4 linked regions of the Schizosaccharomyces pombe genome follow. The gene in region 1 interacts genetically with each later gene. Each region holds a gene or a part of one and is shown on either strand. Other genes may lie near its edges.

Region 1 (9,994 bases):
GTACATCTCATTCCTGTTAACAAGGTAGCTAGCATCTTCACCTGTCCTACTACCACCTACTTGTATCTTCGTACACATACACCACCCAAGAGAGGCGACTTTGCTTCATATCTGATACAAAACAAATACAATACAAATTATTCTTCCACATTTGTTTGTTTGCTTCACTCGTTCTCATTTGCCAGCCCTTTTTATCGCCTTTGCTTTTTCCTTCAGATCGTCTGGTTTTAACTCTACTTTTACCACGCCTGTAGATTCCAAAAATTTCTTTGAACATCGTACTAATCGGTTTATCCTTTTACGTCTTCTCCTTCTTTTTATTTAAAATTATCTTTCTAGGATTCGGGTTACCCCACCCATTGGTTTGGAATCGTTGTGTCTTGTGTATCTATCTTATTTTTAATCCGTTTACTCGTTTTCTTCCCCTTCTCTAAAATTTTATTCTTTTTTTTTCTTTTGTTTTGTTTTGTTTTCTACTTTTTACATCCTTGACTTTCTTCCTTACGATTGTCATTTTGTTTATTTAAAAGTCTTCACTGTCTTGTTAGTTTCCATTTGTAATTCCTTTTCATCCGGCAGCTTGTTTGCCTTTTTCCCCTTACTATTTTTAATACTTTTCTCTATCCACTTCTACTTTATTTTTTCTCAAGATGGCACCTTCTGTTGCAACCTCACTTAAGGCAGAGATCCTACCATCTCCGCGTACCTCATCTCCCTCTTCGAACTTTAAAACGTGTGTTTCCAACGAGAATGGTTGTATAAACTGTCGTTGCTCGCCTTCGGAACCTCATGAATCGGCCAATGTCGATGAGTCGGTAAATAAACTTTCCAAAACCTTCTCCAAACTTTCATTAAACCCTACCTTCCAGGCTTTGAACATGGATCTAGGTCTTCTACATGAAAATATTACTCTTGACAGAATTCCCAAAGTTCCCGAGAATCATGTCTCTTTGATTGATATCGATGAGGCTCGTGCCAAAGAAGACCCCAACTTTCAAATTCATTCAACTCCTTCTAGAATGCCTCCTCACTATGTTCAACCACACCCTCCGTTCAGTGTCTTTCCCGCCCCTATACTAGACGTTCGTGAGCTCACTAAACCAGGTGCTGTCAAACGTGTGTTCCATTTTGAACTAGACGTTTCCAACTATCCCCTTCCTGAAGGCGAAGAGTGGATGGTTGGAGGGTCGTTTGGTGTAATGGCTCCCAACAACGAAGAGGATGTGGATGAGCTTTTACAATTACTTCATATCAATCCCGACCAGGCAGATGCCCCTGTCCTTTTAAAAACCGATGGAGGTCGTTGGCCCACCATCTGGGCAGAAGACACACCTAGAGAACTCGTTACAACCAGGCGTGAGCTTCTTAAATGGACCGTGGAGTTTATGTCTGTCGCCCCAAAAAAGCAGCTTATTCGGTTACTTGCCGAATACGCCAAGGATGATACCGAGCGGCAAGTTTTGTTGTTTTTGGTCAGTCGTTTGGGACAACGTGCTTTCTGTGATTTAAGGGACCACAACGTTACACTTATCACTCTGCTAAAGGCTTTCCCTAGTGTTCAACTTCCTCTTGATCACCTTTTAACCGTGCTTCCCCAGCTTATGCCTAGATGGTATTCTTTGTCAAACGATCCCAAGGTCAGTAATAATGTATTGGAATTTGCGGTTACAGTTGTTGAAATCAATAAAGTTGAAGGAGGCACTCGTTCTGGTATTGGTTCTGGTTTTTTGAAAAGATTGGCATTGAGATTTTTAAATGGTGAACGAGATCTCGTCCTTCCAATGTACCGCGGTCTGCACAAAAACGCATTTGCCACACATTTTGCTTCTGATGGCCCTATGTGCCTAATCGGTGCCGGTGTAGGTGTTGCTCCCTTTAGAGGTTTTGTGCAACGACGTCTTACAAATGCCACTTGTGCTGGTAAAGTTTGGGTTTTCCATGGATGCCGCGACCAAGAATTGGATGAGCTCTATCATGGTGAGTGGGAAAACCCGCTTCAAAAGTCTTCAGACGATGATGCATCTTCTACAGTCAGCCAACAAACCGAAACTGAAATGGATTCCTTCGAAGTTAAAAAAGACGGTACTAGTGGCCCCAACCATCTTGTTGTTGAATCACGTTCTCACCAACATGCCTATGTACAGGACGAGATTCGACACCGTGGTGACATTGTATGGAGTGTTCTTAGTCATCCTCATGGGAAGGTTTATCTTTGTGGTGGTAAAAAGGGATTTTTAGATGGTGTTGAAAATGCCTTGATTGATGTTTGCGTTCAATACGGAAAAATGAGCAGGCTGGAAGCTACCCAACAACTTGCTCTTTGGCAAAGTCCACTTAACCTTAAATACATAAAGGAGATTTGGTAAATGAATGAAGTTGTTTATCCACGTTACCAATATTTATTTTTTCGTTAAAATTTTTTTTTTGTTTACTATCTTTTCACATTATTTTCGATTCTTTTCTGTCTTTTTTATTATCGTTTCGTTTTAAAAAAATCTTTTTTGAAATGTTTCGAAAGCAATATTTGTATCTCAAAATGGCATTTTAATTCTATATTGGCTTGGGCATATCTGTTAAAACATTTTTTGTTTAGCCTTTTGTTTCCATAAATAAAAATATAAACAAATTTTAATAGTTGATTGTAGTAATATAATTTACTCATCTTATTCTCTTGCTTTGATTTATCCTTCATGTTTTCGTATACTGTTAACTAGCAATCTTGAGACTGTAAAGTAAACATTAAGGATTCGATTCTTTAGTGAACCAGTACCTAGTATCTAATTATTTATTAGCGAATTCTAAGGAAATTTGTTTTGCCCATTAATAGCGAAACATCACTCCATGTCGTACAATCGTTAACGCCGGTAACAGAACTCCGATTAAGTTCAGCCGTTGGGGTATCCATGAGCATACGAGCATAGTTCGCAAGCATTATCATTTTAGGACTCTTCACAATCTTAAGTTATTATTTAAGTGTTAATATCTTTAATTTTACTAGATTGCTTAAAAATTGAGAGTTTGACTAGCCCAGTAAGCAATCGCGTGTTGCACGCAATAAGTATTAGTACGAAAACATACTATCCCTTTATAAGGCTATTTCATGAAGGCGCTTATGGAAGGAGATAGCTTTTTTATTCCTGCTTTTAATGATCAGTGCTCATGAAACCTGTGCGAAGGGGACAAACCGATACTGCTTTGGATATAAGTTCCCATGCCAAAACTAATGGTGACTTTATCAAAAAAATGAATACCACTGATTCAAAAAGGCTCAAGTTACTTGAGGATTTGAAGGGAAAGCTCGAAGTTGAGTGCAAAATACGGGATGGCGCTGAAACGTTGCTGCAAGTCTTCGACACCAATTTTAAAAAAGAAACAAAAGAACGTAAAGAAATGTTAAAAAAGAAATGTACCGATGAGCTCGAATCATCTAAAAAAAAGATAGAGGAATTAGTTTCTAGCATTGAATCTTTCCAAGGAGAAAATGGTGAAGCAAAAACTGGCTCAACCAGTCTCACGAGGTCTGCTTCTGCGACTGTCAGTCGAAAGAGCTCATTGCAGGAAAAGTATAGTACGAGATTTTCTTACAAAGCAGGATGTAGCGATAGTTGCAGTGTTACAGTCAGTGGGACTGGTGAATTAATAGGTCCTACCAGAAATGCGCATAGCAATTTAACTCCTACCGTCATTCAAAGAATTGACTTTGAAAATGTCAACGAAAAAAATAATTCTTCTTCTGAAGATACTCAACCTAACGGAAAACGTCCTTCTAGTTTGCAATCGAATTTCTCACAATTTCCATTAAATCCTTGGCTTGATAATATATATAAGGCTTGTCTTGAAGGCAGTATGAAGGATGTAATCGATTCCTCAAATAATTTATGTGAATACTTACATGAACATTCTGATCCCGCTTATGCAAAAAACTTCTCCTTGATTACTCCGACCATACTTTCAATGCTCGAGTTGAATGTCTCTGAAGTTACGGCTTCTGTTTATAGACTACTAAGGCATTTGTTTCTTGACGCAACAGCATTCTCTTGTTGTCAAATGTTGAATTTACCTTGGATCTTGTCAAAGTCTCTACTTTCTGGTACCGATGCATATCAAATTGAACGAGAGCAAGCATTCCGACTAATCCGAACTCTTTATTTTCTTTCATCAACTGAAGGACATGAGGATTATCTTTCAGGTATTACGAGGACTATCATTTCAATTTGTGAGCATGTATCAGATGTTAGTCGTGGAATTGCTGTTGAAACTCTTATCGAGTTAATGATTATTCGACCAAAAATTTTATTTAAAGCTAATGGTTTAAGGGTTTTAATGATCTCCCTAATCGATGGAAGTATTTCTGAGAATTTAGCAGCTAGTGCTGCACTTGCATTAGTATATCTTTTGGATGATCCTGAAAGCGCTTGTTACGTAAATTTACCCTACGATATTGGCATTTTACTTTCACCTTTTACTAGTTCTTCTTCGCGAGATACATTTAATTCCTCTGAGGAACAGTCTGAACAAGCTGCAAAAGCCATGAAATCTTCCGCCAAAGTTGCCTCTGTTTTGCTTAATTCATGGTCTGGATTATTGGCTTTGTCTACCAATGATTTTCAGGCTCTTCGGTCGATTGTTGATACACTTCGGGTTCCATCCTTTGCTCCACGAAGCGATGTAATTGATCTTTTCTTTTTAATTTTCCAAGTTGAGTATTCAAGTTGGTCAGAGTCTTTTTTGGCCGGAAAACGATTAACAGTCGTTAAAAATCAGGCTGTATCTAATGATGATAACATAAACATGGTTAATATACCGGATGGTTCCAACAAAAAGTACATGTCGCTACGCCAACATTTTACAGCCGTCTTATTATTTATATTTTTGGAGCTCGGTTTGGTTGAATCTATTGTATGTATGATTAGGGCCAGCGATGACCCATCAGCCTCACGTAAAGCTACATATCTTCTAGGAGAGGTATTGAGGCTGTCTGATGAGCTACTGCCGATTCATTTAGGAGCCAAAATACAATCCTTGCCATCTTTATTTAATATGGCTTCTCAATTTACTGCCGAAGACAGGTTTGTTGCCACTTCTGTTCTTCAATCCATTGAAAGTTTGAATAGAGTTAAATTCCATTCTGCAACACAACCTTTCTCGCAGACAACCTCTCTTCTTTTTAAGGAGCAAAAAACTGATGGATCTTTTCGGGGGCAAAGACAGGTTGAGCATGTTAAATTGAAAATGGGCATGCAGATTGATGATTCACATTTTCGTAGTATGCTAGCTGAAACCAACGTGTTAGCTACAAAAAACTATCAAAAATGGCGATGGGATACACTTGTCCAAATTATGGAGGGTCCATTGCTAAGTCCGAAACGTATTGATGAAACTTTGCGAACCACAAAATTTATGAGACGGCTTTTAGCATTTTATAAACCCTTTTCCAACAGATTTTCTTCCATACAAAACACTAAACCAAATCAAAAATTTATAAAGGTTGGTTGTCTTGTTTTCAGGACTTTACTAGCCAATCCGGAAGGCGTTAAATATCTTTCTGAAAGCAAAGTGATTAAACAAATAGCAGAATCTCTTAGCCAGATAGACGGATATTCAGAACAGGTTTCTGAGCCGATTTTCTCGAACAGTAGGCTTCAGAAAACCCTCACCCACGGTTACTTTCCTATGTTAAAAGTATTGTCAAGCCAAAAGGAAGGTCATGCAATTATGGAACGATGGAGGATTTTTACTACACTTTACCATTTGACAGAATTGAGGAACAGAGACGATCTCATAATTATTTTTCTGACTAATCTTGATTATCGGCTAGAGGGGCACACACGAATTATATTTTCTAAGGCGCTTAATACCGGGCAACAGGCTGTACGCTTAACTGCAACCAAGCATCTTGCGGCTTTAATCAATTCTGAGTCTGCCAATGACAACTTAAATCACTGGGCAATTTCTCTATTGATATTTCAACTGTACGATCCTTGCTTGGAAGTATGTAAAACAGCAGTGAAGGTGTTGAATGAAGTTTGTGCTCGAAATGAAAACTTGCTGGCTCAAGTTGTTCAGCTTCAACCTTCATTGGCCCATTTGGGTGAAATTGGCTCACCTTTACTTTTACGTTTTCTTGCTACAACTGTCGGATTTCATTACCTTTCTGAAATTAATTTTATTGAACATGAACTCGATAATTGGTACCATCATCGAAATATAGATTACGTGGATTTATTGGAGCAAAATTTTTTCCTTTCTTTTGTTTCAAATCTCAAAATTATTGACAAGAAAAACAATGAACCAGATGAAAATATACTTCCCCTACACTTTTATGGCGAATTAGTCAAATCTCCACAAGGTTGTGAGGTTCTCGAGTCTTCTGGGCATTTTGAATCTTTTATGGGTACCTTGGTGGAATTTTACGATAAACCGTTAGGAAATGAAGCCATCAGGCAGTTAAAGAGTGCTCTTTGGGCTATAGGAAACATTGGAAAAACCGATCAGGGTATTACGTTTTTAATTAACCATGATACGATACCGTTGATTGTCAAATATGCCGAAAATTCATTGATTCCTACTGTTCGAGGAACTGCTTATTTTGTATTAGGCTTGATTTCCAGGACTTCTAAAGGCGTTGAGATACTCGAATCACTGCATTGGTATAGCCTTATGTCTTTAATGGGCACTTCACAAGGAATTTGCATTCCGAGACATGCTGGACAAGTATTATCAACTCCAAGGAGAAATGTTGAGTTTGTAAATGAGCGCGTGCCAACTCCTGAGTTTTCTTCATTACTTAGCTCTTTAACTAACTCAGAGAGAGAGGTAATTAGGCTCGTTTCCAATTTGTCAAACCATGTTTTAACAAACGAGTCAGCACGGCAACTAACAAAGATTCGTTCGAAAAATGCTAAAGTTTTCTCCTCTAAACGTTTGGTGAAAGCTTGTATGACCATTCTGGGAAAATTCCATTACCGTGTTCAGATTCAACAATTTGTATTTGAATTATTTCCTTACTCGGTTTTATTGTCTTCCTCAACCTCACAGGACTTAAATGAATCCCCGTCCAGGCCGAATAATTTGTCAATTTCCGCATGAACTCCAAATTTCCGAACCTTCACTTTTCTAAAATTTTTGTAAATTAATGATTTTTATGATTTCTTATTATCGTTTTTCTTCTGTTATTCAATAAGTTTGATCTTTAGTTTTCTGCTTATTCTTTGACCTTCCCTCTTTGTTTCTTTTCATAAGTTTATTTACTAAGTTAGACTAGTGTTTACATAAAAGGTGATTGCGCTAGGGTTAGTAATGAGTTTATAATTGTTTTTGGATGTTTAAATTATTAATCTAATATTTATAAGACATGTCTGATACTTGCGGATATTTTTTTGAATTTGTGTAGTTTAGGTAGGCCTGCTTAGCCCCTGGCCTCCATACGATAGTAATATGAACAAGAATATATTGCCTTTCATCTTTTCGTGCTAATTTTTACTTTGTACGCTGTTATTATCAATATAAAAATTGCGTACCACAAAGGTGTACTTATATGTAATACCCATGCTTAGCAAGTTATGCTCAACTTCCACATACAACGTATGCAACGAACGGCAGCCTCATGTTATAGTAAATTAGCAAATCCTATATAACTAAACGAAAGTGTATTTGCTTAACATATCGTGGAGTTTGGGCATATTTCTGCTCACAAGTAAATCTCATACAACATCGCATTTGGTTTTAATTTGTTTTGGTTGTTCGCAAGGAAGAAGATTATTCTTTAAAAAAAAGGAAATAAATTTATAAATATAATTTGAAAAAAAATATATATATATATATTTGGGTTTTTACACTCTTTTGACTACATAACTCGATAGGTTTTCGGATTTGTTTAATAGACAAAAGAAGGAAGTACGTTTAAGGGTTTATTTCTATGGAACATTATTGATTTTTTTTTTTTCTTGCTATGTACAATGTGACATACAGGTTACTTCGTCTAAGCTTGATTTCTTCTCATTCTTTAAGAAAATCACGGTCCTTCGATGTCAAAAACTTTGCAAATATTCATTTTTTTATTCCCTTACCAAACACACCAAAAAAGTTTTATTCTGTGAATGCATTTTCCCCTTTACTAAAAGCACGGCGCATGACAGCTACGATTGTAAGCAATCATAATGTTGGTTGTTCATGTTGCTACTTTCGACAGTATAGCACAAAACAATTTCGTGATTTAAATACCAGTGAAGCTCTTTCTCCATGTAAAGCTGAACCGATACCCTATAAAATCATGTCTTCCATGAGTAATTTTTCAGATTTTAAGTCTCGATTTTCACAATATCGAGAATCACATTTAAAGCTACTAAATGAGCTTCAAAATGTTAAAGACACAAATGATCTAAAAGACAGAATACGCTTACTTCATCTCAATAGCTCTTCTAAACTTAATGCTTTTTTACACGATCTTATAAACGCGCCAAATGTGTCAGCAGAGATGAAGGAAAATTGTGTTCGTCTGATTTTTTTTGGAAGGAAGTATGATCCTTTTCTTAGATCGAGGATGTTCACTTTAACTATTCGTTACTTTCTACTTCAAAAAAATAGGCTTAGGACTAGTTTTTATTTATTAAAACATATGGAGTTATTGGCTCTTCCTGCTTCTTATGAATTGAAAACAACTCTTTTAGAGTGGTTCTTACGAAAACGAAAATTTGAAACAGCTCAAAAGATTTTCCTATCGCTCTGCTTTTCCCAACATTTTCCCTCCGAAAAGTTATTGATGGTTTTACTTCTTCATGGGACTGAAACTATGCAGGAATATGCGATGATACAGGCAATAAATTTTGTGAATACAGAACAAAAGTTACGGTTTTACGATAGACTACACTCGATTTGTAGCAAGTTAAAGTTTTCCTCGACGGGTTGATGCTTTGGTAATAAAAATGGTTCATTTGGATGGTTATTTAAATACAATATTAAGATTTCTACTGTTTGGGTATTTAGTAAGGTAAATTAAATCATTGTAATTTTCGTTCAAATTGTAACTCATATAAATTAAATTATCCCTCATCTTGTTCTTTAGTTATTATCACGACAATAAATTTACGACTCTATTCCTTAACCGTGGGCACTATTTTAATTTAAATGTTCTGTATTTGGCATCATTATCTCAACAATTTAGATTTTCATAAAAGATGAACGAATATATTAGCAAAAAAAGAGAAGTTAAAACATTAAATAAATTAAAGATTATATTATGAAAGGACTAAAAGCATCATAAACAGTTATTCATTATATGCTTTTCTGTTTAAAAGATTACATTCCAAGCTCTTTAGACAAGCGTCCATTTCTCCCAAAACGATGTCTATTTCTAAGCTCAATACAGACTTTATATTGTGCATATTACCTGGATAATCATTAAATAATTCCATATTTAGACCTCGAACCCCCAGAGAATCGTAATTATCATTTGCTAATGGTTGAACGGCCGGTGAGCCAATGGATAAAGGGGGTAAATGAGCTCTTAATTTCGAATTAAATGGCTTAGGAGTGGACGAACAGGAGGAAATTTTAGGAGTAGAACTAGCGGATTCAAGACTAGGTTTATGCAAAATAGAGGGAGAAATCGATTTCGGAGGAGGTATACTAATTGACCTATTAACCTCTAATGGCTGTAGCACTGCCGAATGTTTATGCGCTGGCGCTTCTAATGGTGTAGATAGTTGTTCAAATGCGCCCATCGATATACTTCTAGATTGGAGGTCGAATGAGGATGGCATACGAAGACCCGGCTTCATTGGTGACATGGATATTCCTCGTTTTCCAAGAGAAGTTTTTTGACGTTGCACAACTCGAGGCAGGGGTCGTTTGATACTTTGATCCGATGAGGTTTTGGAATTTGAGCGTGTGCGACCTACAAACAAATCGTAATCTTCAGCTTGCTTAGTGTGTTTCGATTGAATGGTTGATTTTTTGGAGGATAGATTTGAGGAATCTAAGCTAGGTAATTCGA
Region 2 (7,143 bases), 1.5 Mb from region 1:
TAATTGCTTGGAGAACTCTAAACAGTTTATATCCTTCAAAAGCTACCCTTTCAAATAATTTTGTTAGTACATCGGACTTGAGCTTTTGGTCTAGAGAGTATTTCGTTCGAAGCAAAGGTAAGTCTTACCTTCACTGTTTTTGGTGTTCTGCTTCATGGCTAGCCGGTATTTCATTAGCTAAAAAGAAAAATTTCGATGGTTTGGAGAATGCCTCATACGACGCAACTAAGCCCATTATTCCAGTATCGTATACAATAATCGATAAGGTTTGGGATGTTCAATATAGAAGTGGAAAGAATGCTCGAACGGCAAAATATAAAACAAAAAAACATCAACTGAAGGCAATTTCTGAAGTTACATTCGCCTTTGTTTCTTGGCGTGGTTTAACTTATTATATGTCAAATTGGGAACCACCTCCTAAAGAAACAGATAGAAATCGCTGGAAAGCGTGGTTAAAAGGGTATTCGGACTTGTTGGAATGTCTATGGATCGAAAAAGCCCCTACAGCTTCGATAAATATTGATTTACCATTTACTAATCTTGAGTGGCACTCTCAACCAAGTTTTATCAAAGGTGGTACACTAATGCCATATCAACTGAAAGGGCTGAACTGGCTTTATTTACGATGGTACACACATCATCCTTGTATTTTAGCTGATGAAATGGGTTTAGGTAAAACTGTACAAGTAATATCTTTCATTAGTGTTTTATTTTACAGACATAAATGCTTCCCGGTACTGGTTATTGTCCCTCATGCCACTGTTGCAAATTGGGAACGAGAGCTTAAAAAATGGGCTCCCTTTCTACAAATTAATGTACTCGTGGGCTCTGAAAAAAACAGAAGTTTAGTCCGTGATTATCGTCTAATCAATCAAAAAGACCCAAAACATGTAAGCACTCATGTCCTCGTTATAAGTGCTTCAAATGTTGAACGTGAAATTTCATTGCTCCGAAAATTTCAGTGGAAAGTTTTAATTGTTGACGAAGGACAACGACTAAAAAATGATCAATCTTCCCTCTTTTATTACCTCTCTTCGGTTAAAAGTGACTTTAAGCTTCTTTTAACCGGGACGCCATTGCAAAATAATGTTCGGGAACTTTTTAATTTACTGCAGTTTTTAAATCCCATGAAAATAAATGCTGCTGAGCTTGAAAAAAGATACAGCATTATTGATACGGAAAAGGTGACTGAACTTCATCAAATCTTAAAGCCGTTTTTTTTAAGAAGAGTGAAAAGCGAAGTACTGGATAACTTTCCTACGAAGGTTGAAGTAATTATTCCTTTGTCCATGACACCTGTTCAAAAAGGTTTATACAAATCGATTCTTTCAAAAAATTTGTCTTTGCTACGTAATATTACCGGCTATGCTAATACCAGTTCTTCTGGAGGGCAAAGGACTACTTCATTGAACAACATTTTGATGCAACTTCGAAAAACATTAGCTCATCCGTACATTTATTCACCAGATATTGAAGACCGTAATCTCCCGTATGAACTTGCTATGCGTTCACTGGAAGAAGCCAGCTGTAAGTTTTTAATATTACGCTTATTGGTACCGAAATTGATAACTCGCGGGCATCGTATATTATTGTTTTCTCAATTTATCCAGCAACTCGATATCCTTGAAGATTGGTTTGAATATAAAAACATAGCCTATGCACGTTTTGATGGCGCCTCATCGGAAATGGAAAGGCAGTCAGCAATCGACTCTTTTAATGCTCCTAATTCTGAGTTGTCATGTTTCTTACTTTCTACCCGTGCTGGTGGAGTTGGCATCAATTTAGCTAGTGCGGACACTGTTATTATACTAGATCCTGATTTCAATCCTCATCAAGACATGCAAGCGATTGCAAGGGCTCATCGATATGGGCAAAAAAAAAAGGTACTTGTCTTTGTGTTAACTACTCGAGATTCTGTAGAGGAAAAAATCATTCAAAACGCTCAAAAGAAGCTTGTATTGGACCACTTAATTGTTGAGTCATTGGATCAAAATCATAATTCAGAAAAAGATTTAGAAAGTATCTTGCGGCATGGGGCTCGTGCATTATTTGAAGAGGCTGGTGATGAACCGTCTATTAAGTATAATGAATATTCGGTAGAATTACTTATCTCAGAAGCTGAGAAACAAGAAGATACTTCAACTGATGAATCAGATATAAAAAGCAATAAGTTTGGCTTTTTTCGTGTTTGGGATAACAAACATATATCTTCCAATCATTATGAAGTCAAAGAAAATGTTCTTGTTGATGAAGAAGATGTCTGGTCAGTAATACTTAAGCAACGAGAGAAGGATGCAATGCTAGAAAAAACAGACGAAACAACTTCCAACAGGAGACTTCGTGCACACCACAAAATCCATTATGGCGAAGATTTAAATATTTATGATAATAGCGACGATACTGATTATACCGTTAATGATCGATCATCACCAGGCTCCCCATTTCCCATAGAAACTGAGACAATCAGTTCGATAACAGATACTTTATCTGATAAGCAAAAACTCAAATATGATTCGAGCGTAAATATCGAAAACTTAAATGATGAATCTGATTCTCAAAAGTCTGCAGATGTTCATTTTGACTCTATCTTAGCTAAATCTCTATTAGCAACAACTCCCAAAGAAGATGAATTTAACAAAACTCTATCCACCATCAATTTAGAGGTGGCTAACAAATTAACTTCTTCAGAGTATATTAATGATTCGGAAATGCAACTGATAGACGATCCAGTTTTTTACCCACCTTACGAAATAATTGAAAAAAATCATCAACTGGTTGGAAGATCTTTGTCTAAAGCAGTTCTTGACAACTTTTTTCTACTGTCTTCTTTGTCTGATAATGTACGTTGTCGATGTTGTGGTATTAAACATTTACCAGCACATTGTCCATTAAGCATTGTGCCATTAGAAATATGCTTTTTATGTGGAACACCTCACTTTAGTGGAAGGGACACGTGCCCTATGTTACGAAATAAGGAAGCGATTTATAGACTAAAAGATTCGCTTAGCAAATCACGAGAACCATTTCACATCAAAAAACAAGCTATGGCTAGATTAAACTCGTTTCTACAAAAAAAGGAGGAACCTACTGTATCAAGCAGTGCCAAAACTAATGAACTTTCATCGAAAGTAATCATAAAGGAATCCATAATTAATGAAGCAAAAACTCTTTAGAGTTTTATCATCAATGTATACTATTATTTAATCTGGCATATTCATATGTATCCTGCATTTTATTCGTTAATATATAATTTTTAATATAAATTTTAAACATATATAGCATTTCCATCAAGATCATTATAACAAGGTAGGATCAAATATGGTAACAAGTGATTCAACTCTGAAGCAAATCATGAACTTAAAACCGGCGGTTATATACGAACAACCGCCAGACAAGTGGACAAAAGAAAGAAATATAAAACTGAAATCAGTTTCGTTATCGTTGTCTTCCACACTAAACTTCTACAGGACATAAAAAGCGTTACGAATGGTTTCAAAAAGACGACTTACTAATTCTGCTAAAAGACTTCGGTACACGAAGGAAGGCGCAAAGACTTTTGTGAAAAACGCTACCATCATCGGAGCAGATATTAAAAAATGCGGTAAAAATCTCTTTGTTACTTTTTTCAGGAACCTTCAAAGCAACTGTAAAATTAACATCCTCACCAGGATGAACGGAAGAAGTGATAGGAAACGAATATGGATTGTCTCCTGGAAAAAGTTTGTCTCCACCATTAAACTTGACATACAACGGAGAAGGCCACGATTGACAAGAAGTATTCCTTATATGCCATATTTTATAAAACGGGCAGCCAGGGCTTAATTCTAAGGGGAGAATGGAGTCCTCAACTAACTTGAAGTCGAAATTAAGAACCTTAGGTTTTTCAGGTTTAGATAAATGTAAAGGTGAAGCAGATATTTCGCGAGTTAAACGGAGCATTGAATGATGATCATGATGCACATGAGATACACATGAGGAGCAAAGATCATAGTCTTCACAAACCAGACAATGAAATCTTGGTCCAACTATTGGATGAGCAAGACAGTTGTCACATTGAACCGATCGATGTACTGTTGAGGCAGACTCAAACAATTCGGCTGATAGGAACTGAGGGAACAAATGAAATGAAGGAAGACCATGAGGATAAGCTTTAGTAATTCGAACGAAAGCATGCGTGTTTGAATGACTATTGTCGGTAAGGCAAGACTCACAAATGTCGTAGTCATCACAAACACTACACTTGTAACGCACATTATGTATAGGTTGCTCACAATGGTCACAAATGGCGTACATAAAATTAGATTGGGGAGAAACTGACATAGAATTTACGCTGCAGGTTAAGGAAGCAACTGAAGGGATTGAAGAGCGAACAAGTACGAAATGGGGTTTTGGGCAAGGATGGAGGAATGCCTGTTTCGCATAGCAGTCTCTACAAACATCGAAATCGAAACACTTTGTGCAATGAAATGAGTCATTCCGAATTATCTTGAGGCAAGTGTTACAAGCAACAGAAGAAGACCTTAAAGTAGGCGAATTATTATTGTGCTCAAAAATGTTTGACTTTAAATTATTCTCCTTAGTGAAGTGGATATTAGCGACTGAGGAATGAAAAGGAGGGAAGGAAGGAACACTATGGTTGCAAAGAATCCCACAATCAGAAGAGGGACATGTACGATTGCAAAGCATTTCGGGATCAAAAACGTGAATAAAATAAAATAAAATTTAATGATAAAAGAGAGCGTTAAAGAAAGCAAAAAAAAGAAAAAAATCGCGTAAGCAGTCAAGAAGTAACTCGAGTTCTTAGGTAAGAGAAGGTCTTAATTGTAGGTAAAAAGCTCTTTCGAAATAAGCTAAAGCAAAATTAGTAACGATATTAACTAATGAAATTAGTTGCAAAGTAAAATTTAATAGTTCATATGAATTTTGAAATTGAGGAAATATGTGACGCCGAAGTGAGCAACAGTGCTAGCAATTTCAGAGTAAAGGCAATAGAAAAAACAATCTTTATCAAGACAAGGATTTTTACGTTCTCGTAAATATTTATCGAAGATGTTATTATTAAAGTTCCATCAACCACTTTAGTCCTTCAATCCTTTTTGTAATTTGTTGTACAAACATTGAACTTAAGACTTTGTGCAAGTAAATTATCTTACCTATAGACGGAACAGGAAATAAAGACAAAACAAATAATTGAAGCGGATGTGTAGAGATACAGTGCAAACGAAATGTAAGGAGCGTTGGAATTGCAACTATAATGACGGGTTCCTAATTGGTTATGAAATCAAGCTATTAATTCTAAATGGGATGTATTCAACGGGTGAAGTGAGCAGGACAAATTCGCTAGTAGAAGTTGATGGTAATGTAAATGAACGAGGTCGAGGTGTAAGCTTATCACACGTATATGGGGGATGAGCATATCGTACTGATAATAGATAAGTTAAGCGTCGCTAAAAAGTGGTAGCGTTTAGAAGCGTGCACAGCATAAACAGTAACTTAGCGAATTTATCTACAAGAGGTTGGTACTTCAACGCATGGCCCTAAAAATGAATATATGAAAAATTTTGTTGATGTAGCAAACTTGAAAAAGAAATTGATTTAGTTAAATTGGAAACTACTTAACTTAAGCCCTAAAATGTACTTAGAAATCGGCTTAGACATTAAACTAGATATGGGTTATGGCATAAATGTAATTTAAATGAGATGTGAGTCGATAAAGTATTAATATTATATATTCTTAAATCATAAGTTGACGCTATTCTAATATCAATAAGCGATTATGAACTGAAAACGTAAATAAATGCAATTTCTCTTACAGCGTAAAATCTTTTACTACAATAATAGAAAAGGGTAGGAAAAACTCCATTATATTGGCTAAAACCGGTCACGGTATCTTTTGATGATCCGTTTGTAAAATCAATTGCAAATGAAAAGACACTAGAGAAGGTGATAAACGACCAGTTTATAGCTAAGTTAATAATTAATGGTATACTCCGCGTTATGATTTTGCTCAAATAATAATTTTGGTTTTTTGCTGATTGTTAATATTTACATTAATGAAATTTGTAAATATACGTCAAAACAAATTAACATCATACTTACATTGTCATACTAATCGCACGTTTACGCATTAACGGGAAAAAAGTAAGCAATATTTCAGTTGGATTTTAAGTCACTCATGCACCGAAATTTTTTCCAGCATATTATTAAAAGTACAAGAACATTAGGTATAAATGCAACTTCATTTCTAACCCGATATTTACTTAACGTTGGTAGACACCAGCATCCTCCGAAATTGATTAGCTCATATTCTCACATCGCTATTTCCACCTTCTCTTTTCAAATATCAGCAACTTCATTCCAACACCCTTCATACACTGTCAAAGGTTTGAGCACCTGTATTGATAAAATGAGCCAAGATCAAAAACCTAAAGTTTTGGAAGTGTCCAACCTTGAGAATCAGGATGCCAAGTGGACATCCTTAAAGAAAATCCGTTGGCAAGACGAAAAAGGAAAAATCAGGTTTTGGGAAATGGCTGAACGTACGACACGTTCAGAAGCCAATGTGGATGCCGTAGCCATCTTAGCCATTGTTCCTATCGACGGAAGTCCTCATGTGTTGTGCCAAAAGCAATTTCGTCCTCCTATTGGCAAGTTTTGTATTGAAATTCCAGCAGGTTTAGTTGATTCTAAGGAGTCTTGTGAAGATGCTGCGATTCGAGAGCTTCGTGAAGAGACTGGCTACGTTGGTACTGTTATGGACTCCACCACTGTCATGTACAATGATCCGGGTCTTACGAATGCTAATCTTAAGATTATACTGGCTGACATTGACATGTCGAAGCCTGAAAACCAAAATCCTCAACAACAACTTGACGATGGCGAATACATTGAGAACTTTCCAATCAAGCTTTCTTCTTTACAAGAGGAATTATTTTCTTTAGAGAAGAAGGGATTTGCCATTGATGTTCGTCTCTCCACATTTGCACTAGGATTACATGCTGGTCTTAAATACTTGTCGTCTTAGCTATGCACCTTTTGCTATTCACTGAATTACGACCGTTTACTATTAAATGTTGCTAATGGACTTTTTATGCTATAACTTTCCTTTGTTTTAGTCAAACTTTATTAAAAATAATATATATG
Region 3 (8,171 bases), 1.4 Mb from region 1:
GTCTCTCCCTTCTATTCTGCAATATCTGTCGTCAAATGCTGCTTGAGCATTTTTCTTTTCGATTTGCCGCCAAATTTTACTCCACTCTCGCTTGCTTCGTCTCCATTCTTGATCTTTGGTTTTAATACGTTTCAGAAGTACAGGAGCCGCAGTGGGTAATTTTTTAAATAAAGTGTCAAGAGCCAAATTTGCATGCTCTTTGCCATAAACGATTATAAGGGCGTTCTTAATTATTCGTTTTGATCGCTCGAGTTCTTGAAGGGCGGTTTCTAAATGCTCGTGAATCGTCGGCTCACAAAAGTTTGCAAGTATTTTTATAGCAGACTCGGTAGTATTCAAAACTCTATCGTAATCATACCGTTCGTCTTCTACTAGTTGCAATGCCTGTAGGTACTGATTTTCATGATGCATTATATTTTTGACATGGGATGGTTTGGGAGCTACAGAAATATAATCGTCATTCAAAACAGAATTGTCCAAATCATCACGACCTGAGCATTTGTCCTGTTTCCAGGAATCCGGAAGTTTGCGATAAGTCAGTGAAATGCACTCAAAAGTTTCTGGTAAATAAACACGTTCGTCCACCGGTTCGTTTTTTACAAGTATTGGGTTATCACTCCACCTAATAAATTCGGAAAACCACAATGTCAAATTATCATTTCTAACAAGTTTTGAAAAAGAATTTAATAATTCTGTTTTATCCAATAACTTTTCCCGATAAAGATGAAGAAGCTCAAGGAACTTGTGAAAGGCTAAAGTGTCAGGTAAATGCTGTCTAATCGTTGTGAAGGCTAGTAATTCTTCCTGGGTAGCAGCATAAGGGGACGTGGGAGCAGTGATTTTTTGCGGATATACATGAAGGGAATAAGAGTTCAATGGCTCTTCAGCAGTTTGTCGATACATCCTCGAGGTTTTAGATATCGATCTACTGATTTGGGCAGAATGAGCCGGTCGATTTCTTTTTTCACGTACAGGTGCAGAAGGGGGAAGACTGAAATTCCCAACCGGAGGAAGACGGTTTGGAGATTTCTGAACATTAGGGGTGGATGGCTCAGTTGAATCAACATTATCAGGAAGAAAAAGTTTAAACTCCTCCAACAAATCTGGTGAATCTTTAAAAATTTCAGCGACCCTCGCACGCACTTCAAAAATCGACTTTTGTGCTTTCTGATAAGTGCGCAAAACACCTAAAAATTCCATGTACGTGTCGGAATTTGGTGGATAACGAGCCTTAACTTTGTTCATATAAGCAATCGCATAGTTAAAATCTACCCGAGGCTTCTCGTTTTCAGTACTGGAAACTAAATTTGGAGCAGATGGCTGAGGTTGAGAGTCAGTAGGACTAGTGGATTCCATTGTTCGCTGATCTTCATTAGATGGAGCCACGGGCAATGTACTTTGGACGCCCTGCTGGGGAAGTGGGTGCATAGGAGTACCTACACGTACAACACTAGTGTTTGAAGAGTCCAATTGTACTTCTATTTTGTAACCGGATGGAAGAAACGTGTTAAAGCCTTCAATAAGTTGAGGGTAACCGTTAAACAACTCTGATACACGATTAATAACTCCCAAGGTGTCAAGCGCCTGAGATTTGAAATCGCGCATAATTTCCAAAAATCGATTGTAAATTTCTCGGCGTTCAGAAAAATAATATTTTACTAACTCAAGATAGGAAAGCGCATCGTTCACATCCAAAGGACGATTAGAAGAAGAACTTAATCCTTCTGCATTTTGTGAAGAAATGGAGCCATCTTTACCAGAAATCGATGATAAGGCGAGCGAGGAAACTATGGTTTTTCCTTTTTCGTAATCATCGCGAGTTACACTTCTTTCCGATAAAATCTGTTTGTTTTCAACAGGTTCAGTAGCTACGCCATTATCTTTTCCATCACCATTGTGCAAAGAGGTGTTTACAGGTGACTGGGATTGAGACGGTGACGCTTTTGGTAAATGGTTTTTATCAGATTGTGTCTCAACTTTGTCGCCTATAATATTAGCATTTGTTAAAAACGAACCTCATAAACCAAGATTGTTTCTCGAAATGATGTTTCGCAGAAGAAGCATGTAAAAACTTACCAGGATTGTCGCGTTCTGAGTCGACAGGCACATTCATTACATCCATGGTTAAAAACTCATAAATGCAACAGAAATGACTGCTTTATCTCGATAGTTGCAGTCTTGCAATGTCTGAATCGCGTTACGGGAAAGGTAAGATTGGTTTGTTGTGTTTGACACAAGTAAATGTCATCACGTAACGTGCGTGCTACACACACCTGCCTACCTTAACTAATTTCCAAAACATCAGCAGTTGAGTTGAATTTAAAAATCATTAATTTCATTCTTTGATTAGAGTAAAGAATTTTAATTCATGTTTATTGTGTCAAGAAATTCTGACATCAATTTTTTAGTCGTTTCCTTGCCCCATCTAGCATCTTTGACTGTTCGTTACTTTTGAACGTTGAAAAAATACTATACCCTTTTGCTCATTATTCTCATTTTACGGAGTACGCAGTACAAATTATGGCGCTGCATCTCCTGTACGTTCTCATAGGCTACGCACGCGTTGCATGGCTACCTCGTTACTATGGCATCTGCTTCGTAAACAAACATCGTTTCTAAATTTGTAAACAATGAAATCAGTAACAATTTCGAATGGAATAAAAGCAAGCTGTGGTCCATCATTCTGCTTGTTCTGAGGCTTTGGTATTGATCGTCTTAAGCCCTCTAAAAGCAAGGAATTATCGCTATCTGGAAAATTTATAATATCAAACAACCCAAACACTTTTATTCATTTCTTGCTTTGTGGAAATTTTTGAAAGCATCAACATGAGTTTTCAGAATCCCAGCTATATTAATGCTAAACACCGGTCCTTCTTGCAACCTAAGGACACTCAAGATTCGCAGGATTTACGAAACTGGGTCAGTCACAGTAGTGTAGATGAAGAAACAGCATATTCTAGTTCGACCCTCAGTTCGAGTTCTTCTAAAAGCTTTCCTTGTTACGATGAGTATGATGAGATAAAATCTCCTGACGATCAAAAAGTCGAGTATATGAAGACGTTAAGGACCTTGGAAGAAGATGCTTTTTCTTACACAGATTCAGTTTACGATTTTGAGGAGCGTTCATTTGATGAACACGAGCCACCTATCCCTCCACTTCACAAAACTGGAGTTTTTAGCGTTCCTCTTCAACCAACCCATACTGTGAATAGTAACTCAGACGACGGTTATGAAAATTCCTCCAAGAATGAGTATCTGGACTTTAATTCAGAAATCTCTGCTTCGCCCGTCAATGAACCAATGACGCACAGTCAGTCATACACCTCGATTGATCGCTTGAATTCATCAAGTTCGCACTATTCCAAAGATGTTCCATTATTATGTGGAAGCCTGACTATTGATTGCCCAACGCCAATAGACTTACGTGGCATGCTTGGTCCATTTATGCAAAAAAACCCCGATGAAGCAAGTTTCCTGCGGTATTCGGCCATTACCTGCCAACCAGAAGATATGAATAATAATGGGCTTCAACTACGAACATGGTCCACGGGTCGCGACATTCAAATTGCTGTTTGTCTAACACTTAGCGATGAGGATTTGGCATCTTTTGCCATTTCTCTTTCTAGTATCATGAATAATTTAAAACATCTTTGCTCACGGTCTAAGTCGCGGGTATGGGGAAATGAGAGTTGGGAAAAGGTTTTAGTATGTGTCGTAATTGATGGCCGTAACACTGTTCACCAAAACGTCTTGGACTTGCTTGCATCTATAGGAGTGTATCAACCTCACATTGCTAAAGGGAGAGTAAACGGAAAAAGAACTTTATCCCATATGTATGAATTCACAAGTACCATCAACGTTGATGAGAAACTCAATCTTACAACAGCGACTGGTGACGGAAACGTTCCAATGCAGATGTTACTCTGTGTTAAGGACCGTCGTCTAGGCACTTATAACTCGCATCGCTGGTTTTTAAATGGTATAGCATCGCTTGCTCGTCCCAAGGTTTGTCTCTTTGTTCGTAACGGTGCAAGGCTTGGCCCAACATCTATTTATCATGCGTGGAAAGCTTTTGATGTTGATTCCACTATTGGAGGAATGTGTGGTAAAACTTCGATTGATACAGGAAAGTTTGGCTTTAGACTGTTAAATCCATTCATTGCTTCTCAACATTTTGACCAAATGATCCATAACAATCTTCGCTTACCGTACGACAGCTGCATGGGTTATATTTCAAATGCGCTTAACGCAATTTATGGATTTCGATACGTCGCTTTGCAAGATTCATATCCAAACCCTGGACCACTAGCCGATTATTTCGAGCAAGACCAATATGAAATTCCTAGGAGAGGTATCTTACAATCCAATGCTTTTTTGGCACAAGAACAACTCCTTTTCTGGAAAGTAATCACCCGAAAAGATGCAAAATGGCATTTGCAATATGTACCTGAAGCTTGTGCTACTATTGAAGCGCCCAATTCAATGGCTGGAATACTAGAGTCTAAAAAATCTGAAATTAACAGTAGCTTTAGTCTTGCTGTCTATGTTATAGTTGATTTTTTTTCTTTATGGACTACCCGGCACAAGTTCTTTCGATTCCTTTTGCTCACCGTTCAATCGCTCGTCTTTGCAATTGAGAAGTTGGTGAATTTTTTCTCAATGGCAAATTTCTTTTTGGCCTTCTACTTTGTATGCAATGCCACTTCATACAGCTCATTGAATCCGTATGGTAATTGGGCCCGACCTTTATTTCTGGTTTTCGAATATATTCTAATTTGTTTAATTTTTTCACAGTTTATGCTAGCAATGGGCAATCGACCACGGAGGTATGAATGTTTGTTTTAAAAATTTCTCATATTAACTAATTGTTTAGCTGTCGAGTTTTACTGTTCATTAGTACTGCATTGTTTTCCATTATTATGATTTATTTCGTTTTTTGTGTTTTTTATATTTCATTGATACCATTACACAACTCAGATAATTCTGAAATTGTTTTAGGCAACAATTATTTCACGACCTTAATTTTCTCTTCTTTATTAATTCTAGCATGTTATGCTTTCGTTTCTTTAATTTGTATGGATCCTTTTTTTATCTTTACTTGTATTGTGCAATACATTCTGCTGATGCCAACTCGCATTTATACTGAGCAAATATATGCACTTTGTCATCTTGATGATGCTTCAATTTCGAAGGATGATAACCAGCAAGAATTTAATTTTGACACAGGTATTACCCATTGTTCAATGAACGACGAAGGCTATACTACAATCAGTATTCCAAAAGCCAACGTGTTGAATTCTGTATATAACTCTTCTTTAAAAAATTTCAGTTCTTCTAATGATACTTCGGTTTATCACGATGTTCAGGACCATTGCTATCGGAAGCCACAATCCTATGAGGATCACTACCAAGACATTCGTACTCGTTATGTGCTAGTTTGGGCTGTAAGCAACTTAATTTTAGCCATTGTTCTGATTCAGGTATTCGATGGCATGCGTTTTATTAATAATGGCTACATGAAGTATATATTTTGGAGTATCGTAGCCTTCACTGCTTGGAAAACCATGGGAGCTGTTACATTCATAGCTACCAAGATCATTTCACGAATTGCTAATTGTGTGAAATCAAAACTTTACATTTTTAATGATCCTTAATGATACAACTAAATTTATCTTGTAAATATTTCTTCTATGACCGATATTTTAAAATGAAACAATGTAGGGGATTTATAGTAATTTCAATTACTATACAAGTTTTCGATTGTTAATCTAGTTGTTTCGTTCCAAAAAGATAGTGCTTCCTTCTAAAACCTCGTTTTTAACGCATTTGTCCGAATCAAAAGTATTATCAACGATGCTTAAAGTTTTGCATTTCTTGATAAGACTTTGAATACTGGCAGATTCCGAAGTAATGAGTTTGGAATGTTCTTCATCAGGATGAATGTATACCACAGCATCTGATTTGATTCCATTTTCAGCCATCATTGAACGAGTAGAGTGAACGACAGTAATGATAGACTCGTAATATTTAGCAGCTATCTCGTTAGAATAGTCTACCCTTTCAACTGGGAAAGCAGCTTTAACGATAGTCTGAGTTTTGTCTCCAGGACGACGAGGAAGTCTCTGCCACATCTCTTCAGTAACGTATGGCATAAAAGGATGCATTAAACGAAGAGCGTTGTCAAGGACAGTATAGAGGGTTTGCTTAGCAGATTCTTGTTGTACCTCTGTACCATCACTTAGAAGGTATTTTGAGTTCTCAATGTAAACATCACAAAGTTCATACAACCAAAATTGGTGAACAGCTGAAGTAGCTTGAAGGAAGTTCATTTCTTCCATGTTTTTGTTCATAGCGGCTGCTGCGATGTTCAAGCGGTGGAAAATCCACTTTTCTACAAGTGATTCATTACCAGTAAGATCGGCAGTCTTGTTAGGAACGAAATTAGAACCTAGACGACCCAAAGCAAATTTTGTAGCATTGTACAACTTGTTACAGAATTTACGATATCCTTCAACACGAAGGATATCAAGGTTGAGATCACGACCACCAGTAGTCAAGGAACAGAGGGTAAAACGCAAAGCGTCAGTTCCACATTGAGGTATACCCTTGGGATAGCTCAACCGTTGACCCTTTTTAGCTTTTTCGACCTCTCTGCTGTCGAGATTGCCAACCAAAAGCTTATCATGTAATGCTTGTAGAGAAATACCCTCAATGACATCTATAGGATCCACAACATTTCCCAATGATTTAGACATTTTGCGGCCTTGAGCATCACGAACGAGTGCATGACAAAATACACGTTTAAAGGGAATCTTTCCGGTTAATTTGAGACCCAACATTACCATACGAGCAATCCAGAAGAAAAGAATATCCCAACCTGTTTCCATCAGAGTAGTAGGATAGAAATTTTCATAATCGCTAGTATCCTTTGGCCAGCCAAGGGTAGAAAAAGGCCACAATCCGGAGGAGAACCAAGTATCAAGAACGTCTTCATCCTGTTCTAGTGTGAAAGACTTTCCAGGAAAAGCAGCTTTAGCTTTCTCTTCTGCTTGTTCCAAAGTACGACCAGTAACCCAATAACGGCCTTCACTTCGATCTTGAGAAGGTTCGTCAGCTAAATTTACAAAATAGGCTGGGATACGATGACCCCACCATAATTGACGAGAAATGCACCAGTCTTGGATATTTTCCATCCAGCGAATGAATTCTCGGCGAGACATATCAGGAGCAATTTCGATTTCACCAGACTTTACAACTTCAGCTGCGGCTGCAGCCATCTCTTTTTGATTCACCCACCATTGAGGCTTCATGACTGGCTCAATAATATCCGAAGTCTTCCCACAAAGTGGAATTACCATTGGATTTTCCTTGGTACCAACAAATAAGCCGAGCTCCTTGAGTCGTTCAACAACCTTAACACGAGCAGTAAAACGCTTCATGCCAGCAAATTCTCCACAATTTTCATTGAGAAGACCATCGTCAGTGAAAATATTAATGAACTCCAAATTATGACGCTTTCCAACTTCATAATCGTTAGGATCATGAGCTGGAGTGATTTTAACAGCACCGGTACCAAATTCCATATCAACGATTATGTCGTCACAGATGATAGGAATTGAACGGTTACAGAAGGGATGTTTTACAAATTTACCGTGTAGGTGCTTATAACGAGGATCCTGGGGATGAACAGCAACAGCAGTATCTCCGAGAAGTGTTTCTGGACGTGTAGTAGCAATAACAATTCGTTCGTCAGAACCTTCAACGGCATAAGCGATGGAAGTCAATACACCCACTTCGACGGGTTCATCATATCCAGGGACCTTGAGCAAAGTACGGCCAGGAACGTCAACGTTTTCTACCTCAAGGTTTGATAAAGTTGTTTGTAAAGCAGTACACCAATTCACGAGACGATTAGCACGGTAGATAATATTTTCCTCATGCAAACGAACAAAGGTTTCAACAACGGCACGACTAAGATTTTCATCCATAGTAAAGGCTTCACGAGTCCAATCAAAAGAACCACCAAGTCGAGACATTTGGTTTTTTATACGGTTATGGTATTCTTCTTTCCATTCCCAAACAATGTCAACAAATTTATCACGAGGATAATCATGGCGAGTCTTCTTCTGCGTGTACCAAAGCTTCTTTTCAACAACAGATTGGGTACTTAA
Region 4 (6,750 bases), 1.3 Mb from region 1:
AAAAACTGACTTTGAGAAAAGTTATAACATTAATATTATTGATACACCTGGTCACATTGATTTTACCATTGAGGTGGAGCGTGCCTTACGTGTGCTAGATGGTGCAGTGTTGGTACTCTGTGCTGTCTCCGGTGTTCAATCGCAAACTATCACAGTTGATCGACAAATGCGCCGCTACAATGTCCCCAGGATCTCTTTTGTTAACAAAATGGATCGTATGGGTGCAGATCCGTGGAAGGTCATTCAGCAAATAAACACAAAATTGAAAATTCCCGCTGCAGCTGTTCAAATTCCTATAGGTCAAGAAGACAAACTTGAAGGTGTGGTTGATCTTATACAAATGCGTGCAATTTATAATCGTGGGTCGAAGGGTGAGAAAATCGAAATTTCTCAGCAGGTTCCTGAGAATCTTATTGAACTAGCAAAAGAAAAGCGCTCAGCTTTAATTGAAAAGCTTGCCGATTTAGACGAAGAAATTGCTGATATATACGTAATGGAAGAAGACCCTACACCTGAGCAGCTTATGGGAGCTATTCGTAGAACTACACTTGCAAGGAAGTTTACACCTGTATTAATGGGTTCTGCCTTGTCCAATGTTGGAGTTCAATCTGTTTTGGATGCTGTTTGCGACTACCTACCCAACCCTTCTGAGGTCGAAAATATAGCTTTGAATGCAGCAGACTCAGAAAAGCCAGTATCCCTTGTTCCTAGCAGTGAGAAGCCGCTTGTCGCTCTTGCTTTCAAACTCGAGGAGGGAAGGTTTGGCCAGCTCACCTATTTGCGAATTTATCAAGGTACACTCAAGCGGGGTAATTACATTTACAATGTCAATTCTACAAAAAAAATAAAAGTTTCACGCCTCGTTCGTATGCATTCCAATGATATGGAAGAAATCGAAAAGGTTGAAGCTGGAGGGATTTGTGCGTTATTTGGTATCGAATGCGCTTCTGGAGACACCTTCACGGACGGTTCCGTATCGTATACTATGACTTCAATGTTTGTACCAGAACCCGTAATTTCACTTTCTTTAAAACCGAAGAGCAAAGATACAACCAGTTTTTCTAAGGCTTTGAATCGCTTTCAGCGTGAAGATCCCACTTTTCGTGTGCAGTTGGATAATGAATCGAAAGAAACCATCATTAGTGGTATGGGTGAACTTCATTTGGAAGTTTATGTCGAACGTATGCGTCGTGAGTACAAGGTTGACTGTGAAACGGGTAAACCAAGAGTTGCATTCCGGGAAACTCTTTCCAAAAAGGTACCTTTCAGCTACCTGCACAAAAAACAATCTGGTGGAGCCGGTCAATATGCAAAAGTAGAAGGGTACATTGAATACATGGATGGTGTGGAAGACGAATCTGGAAACGTTGTTGATTGTGAATTTATCAACAAAGTTACCGGTGGAACAGTCCCTACGCAGTATATTCCAGCTTGTGAAAAAGCTTTTTACGAAGCATTGAAAAAAGGATTTCTCATTGGTCATCCTATAAAAAATTGCAGGTTCGTTTTAGAAGATGGTGCTTATCATCCCGTTGATTCCTCTGAATTGGCATTTCGTTTAGCCACCATTTCTGCTTTCCGTACAGCTTTCTTGCAAGCGAACCCAATGGTTTTGGAACCAATTATGAACGTAAGCATAACGGCGCCTGTTGAACATCAAGGTGGTGTAATTGGTAATCTTGATAAGCGTAAGGCGACTATTGTCGATAGCGATACAGACGAAGATGAGTTTACGTTGCAGGCGGAGGTCCCTTTGAACAGCATGTTTTCTTATTCCTCGGATATACGAGCCTTGACTAAAGGCAAGGGTGAGTTTAGCATGGAGTTTCTCAAATATCTTCCAGCACCAAAATATGTGCAGAAGGAACTTGTTGACGCGTACAACAAACAACAACAAAAATAATTTTTGAAGTCCGTTTTAAATGAAGCAACAGCAAAGTTTTTGGTAACCAGTCATTTCTATTTAAAAAAAAAAATTTTGATCCACTCTCCTCTTTACTAACGCAGCAATCTACATGCAAATAAAAAAAATAAATACCCAGATTATTACCATACAAGTAATGTACAATTTTTTTTGTGCAAGATAGTTCATGGAACAGAGAATGAGTATATTAAAGAATATGAAGAGTAAATTATAGACCAACTTATAAAGGCTGAGCTCTTAACGGAGACATTTTGGCCAGAACATACATTTGAATTCCAATAACTTGTTTTCAAATAGTGCTTTTTTCTTTTTCCTTCTTTCTTTCCATATTTTTGTTATTGGTTTGGAAAAAAAAGGGAGTAGGAATAGGATGATAGATAATATGAATAGGAAAAAAGTATGACTTTCAATATAAAGGTAAGGACAGTGATAAAGCAAGCCCCCTTTATGGAGTCTATTACTGAATTTGATTTATGAATGAGTTCTAAGGATTATTGTATAAAATAGGAATTTTAGTTTCAAAGAAAGAAAAAGATAAGAAAACGTAAAACATCAGATGCAAGAAAGAAACAGGAAAAAAAGAATAAAGGCACATACGAACATCTTTTTTTAAAACAATTTATAGCACTCCAAGTTCTTTTTGGGCTTGAATACGCAATTCCTCATCAGCGGCTTCATACAGAATTTTTTCGGTTTGCCAACGTTGCGAAATAGAATCAATGTCCTTGGGAATATTATCAATTATGCTGTGAATTTTTTCGTTTTCAATTATTTCATTGCAAGTTTGGAATATAAACTGATTCCATCCAGGCTGCAATGAATTGGCAGTTTTGGCAATATCCATCAACTCCAATTCAGTTTCCTTTTCCAAACGACCAAACTTACGAATTAGCTCGTCACCAACGCCGCCGCGGTTGAGCAAATTATTCAATGCCATTCTCGATACTTTAAGCTTCATCAATCGACGAAGACCTTCTGTAGCCCGTAAAACGAGAGCAGCTTTCAAAAGTGTATCCTCGGCAGGTGGATTCTGCTGCAAAAGACTGAAAAATATATTTCTAGAATAATTTTCTCCAAACCATTCTTCTGATACTGGTTTTGATTCCTGATTTTTGGATTTTCGCACAAAACGAGAAACTCCATACATAGAGCCCATTAAAATGGTAATATATATCAAGGGAACGTAAATCGACACCATATTGAATTAATTAACACGGCCAAGTATGTAAAGCAAGCAGGGACCTTTTTCTTTAACAACTCGTATACCCTTTTTGTATTATTTGTTTTTTGCAGAGTGGACTGCAAATATGTATATGAGATATAACTTCGAGACCAAATGAATGCAAGACCAGTTTAGGTGTGAAAGGAGAATAGTGTGTTTTCTGGAATGCTTTATATTTTATAAGGTTGATGTAATTTTCTGTTATTTGTAGATAAGAGATATTTATGTTTTCTTAAAGACGCTAAAATATTTTACGCGATGCGCTATTAGATAAACAAATCGATCGGATATTGTTCAATTGTTTGTTTAAACTCAGGTAAAAGTTTTTAGAATTAGAAATGAAAAAAATTTACTAATAGGGAACTAGGATAATAAACAATTGAGCATTTTAGAAACAGATTTTGCGACCATTGTGAAAACTGACGAAACATATAGTTAGGAAGACAAAAACACCTCATTTATGAAATTATTTCTTTTTTTCAAGTATACAAAGGATCTTTGTATGTTCTTCTATATTGTTTCTGTAGTTTTATTAGTATTTTTACATATCGAGGCATTGGCATTCATTTGTTTTATTTACAGCCAATTAATAAATTCCCTTATTTTGATATAAGCTTTACAGTCTCGCTTAACTTGAAAACGCTATGATGTTGTGTATTCAGTTACAATAAATAGTGACATACAATAGTCGCTCAAATATATCTGGTTATATTTTATATTAAATAATTTTGCCAACTGATTTATCTTGGGTTGATTTTTCTTATTCGTGAGATTTAGATAGCCGTTCATGATGTTTTTCTGCATACAATGCATATTAGTGGAAAATGCGTTCGATTTCCTTATACTCATACAATCCTTTAGACCGTCGAAAGCGGAGTGGTATCACTTTGGTATAAAAAGGTAGTCTTAATTAACCTACCACTAACGTATATTTTCATTAACAAAAAAAAAGTTTATTATCATTATTCAAGATGGCTAAAAGATCCATATTTCGTTTTGCTGATGAAAAGGGCTTGAAGGTCGCTGCCCGTTATGGAGTCCTTATGTCAACTAGTTTTATTTTTGCTTTACTTTTCCACAGCGTATGTTCCAATCAAATTTCTATTTTATTCTAAGATTATTCATTTGAAAATCAACTTTCATTTGATATCAATTTCGTTTAGCTTTTGGAGACAAAGGGAGCAGAATATGAGAAATTATAAGTCGGTACTTTGAGTGAATTCTGAATTTGTTTTACAAAACATGCATTGTTAAAATAAATCTGGAAAATTATTTTATCAGGAACGTTTCTAAAAAGGAGCTTTTTGTCTGTTTAAGTTTTCATAATCGGATACGAGCATTCATCTTACCGCTCAATGTTTGCCGCGCTGCTCATTTTTCTGTTGTTCTTATGTTTTTGGAGCTTCACTTCGAATTGATTACTTTGTTCATAGTCTTTATTTTCTTAGCATAAATTACTAATGTCATTTAGAGCGTTGCCGATGTGAATACCTTATGGAGTCCTGGCCCTGAGTCTGCTTTCGATGCTGCTGAAACTTACTATACTTTGGTGGCTGGATCCCATTTCATTGTAAAATATACTGTATATACCATCATGGGACTTAATATGATTTTCCATCTTATTCAAGCCACTGGCGCTAAAGGTGATGACAAATTGTTCTTTTACTCTAGCACGCTTCTTTATCTTACTGCACTAATTTTGTTTATTGTTAATGTTGCTCCTTCTATGTTGGTTGTTAAGCTACAGAATTATGTTCAATTCCCACGAAATATGCACTTGTCCGTTCTTGCTGCTTCTCATGTTCTTGTTGAATTTCTTCTTGCTGGTGTCATTCTTATTCAACTTGGATACGTTTTCGGATATCATGTTCAAAGTATCCAGCAGCGCGAATACGCTGAAGATATGAGGGAGCAAGAATTAGCTGAAAAGGCTAAATTGGAATCCGAGTCTGCTACTACTCAGAGTGTAGAAACTGTTTCCACCGAATCTGTTTCAAAGCGCAAGTAAACAAACCACTTGGGTCTAATTTTACAACTTTTGGAATAGAGTGAACTATTTTATATCTTGCTAATTATTGTTGCTAGTCCGTCATCAACTCTTTGACGCAAAGTTTATGTCTAACTAGAAAGCAAAGAGTGACTTGCATTGACGGTAACTGGGAAAGCTTACATGTGTATTCATACGTACAATTATATATATACAAGATTTATACTGTCTTATATAAGAAATAAATTGACTTGAATTTTCGATAGAGGAATAGTTCGTTATGTTTGGATTTAGAATAGTCTTTAGCACACTTATACTTCTTAATAATTAAATATGTACTCATTGTGCAAAAAGGATTATCACAAGTGAAGCTTTTGTGAGATTGTATATTCTTCTATACTATGGATGCATAAACAAAGTCTCATTTTAGATGGGTTTTACGCTGCAGATACAGCAGAAGCGCCATACAAATATACTAAGTAAAATCTCAAAGTTCAAATGCTCAATCGATTTATTGTGCTAATTATCGATGTTTAATTCACTTTTTAACAACTAATAAATAGGTAACAATGTTACTTGTTCGTATAGCTTACTTGACTGCATAGCATCAGAATGATAATTGTAACTAGCTTCAGCGAATTTGGTAAGTTGGACTAGTTGGTTAGTTATTACCTTTTTTTTCTTTCTTCTGTGTTTCTCTAATCTCAACCCTACTGTAGACGGTAACTTTTTCAATTCATTCGTTCGGGTCATTTTTTGATCAAAATGTTGCAACTTTTCATTTATAGCCCAGGACTTGGGCAACCAACGATGGATCCTGGATGCTTAGCGGCATTAATTTATTGCGCACTTGCCGTCCCAAAGGACGAAATTGAAATTCTTCGCACTGCAAATTCAGGTATGAGCCCTACCCATAAGCTACCAGCTTTGTGGGATGGTCATGTTTGGATTGGATCTTTGAAAAACATTTTAATATACTTGAAACAGAAGGGCTATAATTTGGATAATTTTGATGCGAAACAGCTGGCCAATGTTATGGCCTTCACCAGTTTATTGGAAGGTTCCGTCAATGACCTTTGGTTATTAGAAGCCTTTGTTAATGAGGAAAATTTTGTTGAAGCAATAAGACCTGCTTGGTCAAAGGCACTTAAATTTCCTCATAATTATTTGACACCCAATGCTTTGCAACGGCAAGCAAAAGAACGCTTGGCTCAAACACTTGGTATTCGCGACGAAGAAGTCTCTTATGAAGCATCAAGGATGCCTATTTCTCATAAATGGACTAATGCTACTAGACATAGGCAAGCTCTACTGCGCACGCAAGCTCGTCGTATAAGAATTTCGTCATTAGCTCGGCAGGTATATGGTTCGCTTGAGTCCCTGATTTCAGATTCAAAATTTATATTCGGTGAAAAGCCAACATCTCTCGATTGTTTGTTTTACGCCTATTTATCTTTCCATGCTTTCACCAATGAGCTTCCTCAAGCAACTTTGCGACCATGTTTGCAATTCAACTCTCCCAAGCTTTATGCCTATCTCAAATCTTTACGCGAAACCTGGTTTTCCGATGATTCAAACATACTTTCTCCTTTATCGATTAAAGTTCAACCCGAAAAT

Evidence for each region.
Region 2: mutations in ste20 (region 1) and nbr1 together harm fitness more than expected from each alone (negative genetic interaction), as found in Schizosaccharomyces pombe (one large-scale study listed by BioGRID).
Region 3: mutations in ste20 (region 1) and chs2 together harm fitness more than expected from each alone (negative genetic interaction), as found in Schizosaccharomyces pombe (one large-scale study listed by BioGRID).
Region 4: mutations in ste20 (region 1) and shr3 together harm fitness more than expected from each alone (negative genetic interaction), as found in Schizosaccharomyces pombe (one large-scale study listed by BioGRID).

Annotation. Positions count from the first base shown.
Region 1 is NC_003423.3:2,472,980-2,482,973, forward strand, and holds ste20 (target of rapamycin complex 2 subunit ste20), read left to right. Parts: upstream 1-2,899; 5' UTR 2,900-3,159; coding exon 3,160-7,089; 3' UTR 7,090-7,483; downstream 7,484-9,994. Other genes in the region: SPOM_SPBC12C2.03C (methionine synthase reductase), read left to right, coding at 651-2,366; SPOM_SPBC12C2.01C (uncharacterized protein), read left to right, coding at 7,952-8,908; PAK-like kinase Nak1, read right to left, coding at 9,267-9,994. UniProt on the Schizosaccharomyces pombe protein: Component of TORC2, which regulates multiple cellular processes to control cell growth in response to environmental signals. TORC2 is required for cell survival under various stress conditions.
Region 2 is NC_003423.3:983,152-990,294, forward strand, and holds nbr1 (protein Nbr1), read right to left. Parts: upstream 5,359-7,143; 5' UTR 5,154-5,358; intron 4,851-5,153; 5' UTR 4,687-4,850; coding exon 3,493-4,686; 3' UTR 3,232-3,492; downstream 1-3,231. Other genes in the region: SHREC complex ATP-dependent chromatin remodeller Mit1, read left to right, coding at 1-3,173; subfamily NudF ADP-ribose diphosphatase Ysa1, read left to right, coding at 6,407-7,024.
Region 3 is NC_003423.3:1,092,532-1,100,702, forward strand, and holds chs2 (chitin synthase-like protein 2), read left to right. Parts: upstream 1-2,689; 5' UTR 2,690-2,826; coding exon 2,827-4,826; intron 4,827-4,873; coding exon 4,874-5,654; 3' UTR 5,655-5,697; downstream 5,698-8,171. Other genes in the region: SIN3 family co-repressor, Clr6 and Rpd3L histone deacetylase complex subunit Pst3, read right to left, coding at 1-1,985, 2,077-2,122; vrs1 (valine--tRNA (Val) ligase Vrs1/Vas1), read right to left, coding at 5,769-8,171. UniProt on the Schizosaccharomyces pombe protein: Plays a role in septum formation. Has no chitin synthase activity.
Region 4 is NC_003423.3:1,173,233-1,179,982, reverse strand, and holds shr3 (chaperone protein Shr3), read left to right. Parts: upstream 1-4,069; 5' UTR 4,070-4,117; coding exon 4,118-4,228; intron 4,229-4,617; coding exon 4,618-5,154; 3' UTR 5,155-5,503; downstream 5,504-6,750. Other genes in the region: mef1 (mitochondrial translation elongation factor G), read left to right, coding at 1-1,903; translocation subcomplex subunit Sec66, read right to left, coding at 2,544-3,122; mtx1 (metaxin 1), read left to right, coding at 5,899-6,750. UniProt on the Schizosaccharomyces pombe protein: Involved in amino acid permease processing and required for the efficient translocation of structurally related amino acid permeases from the endoplasmic reticulum to the plasma membrane.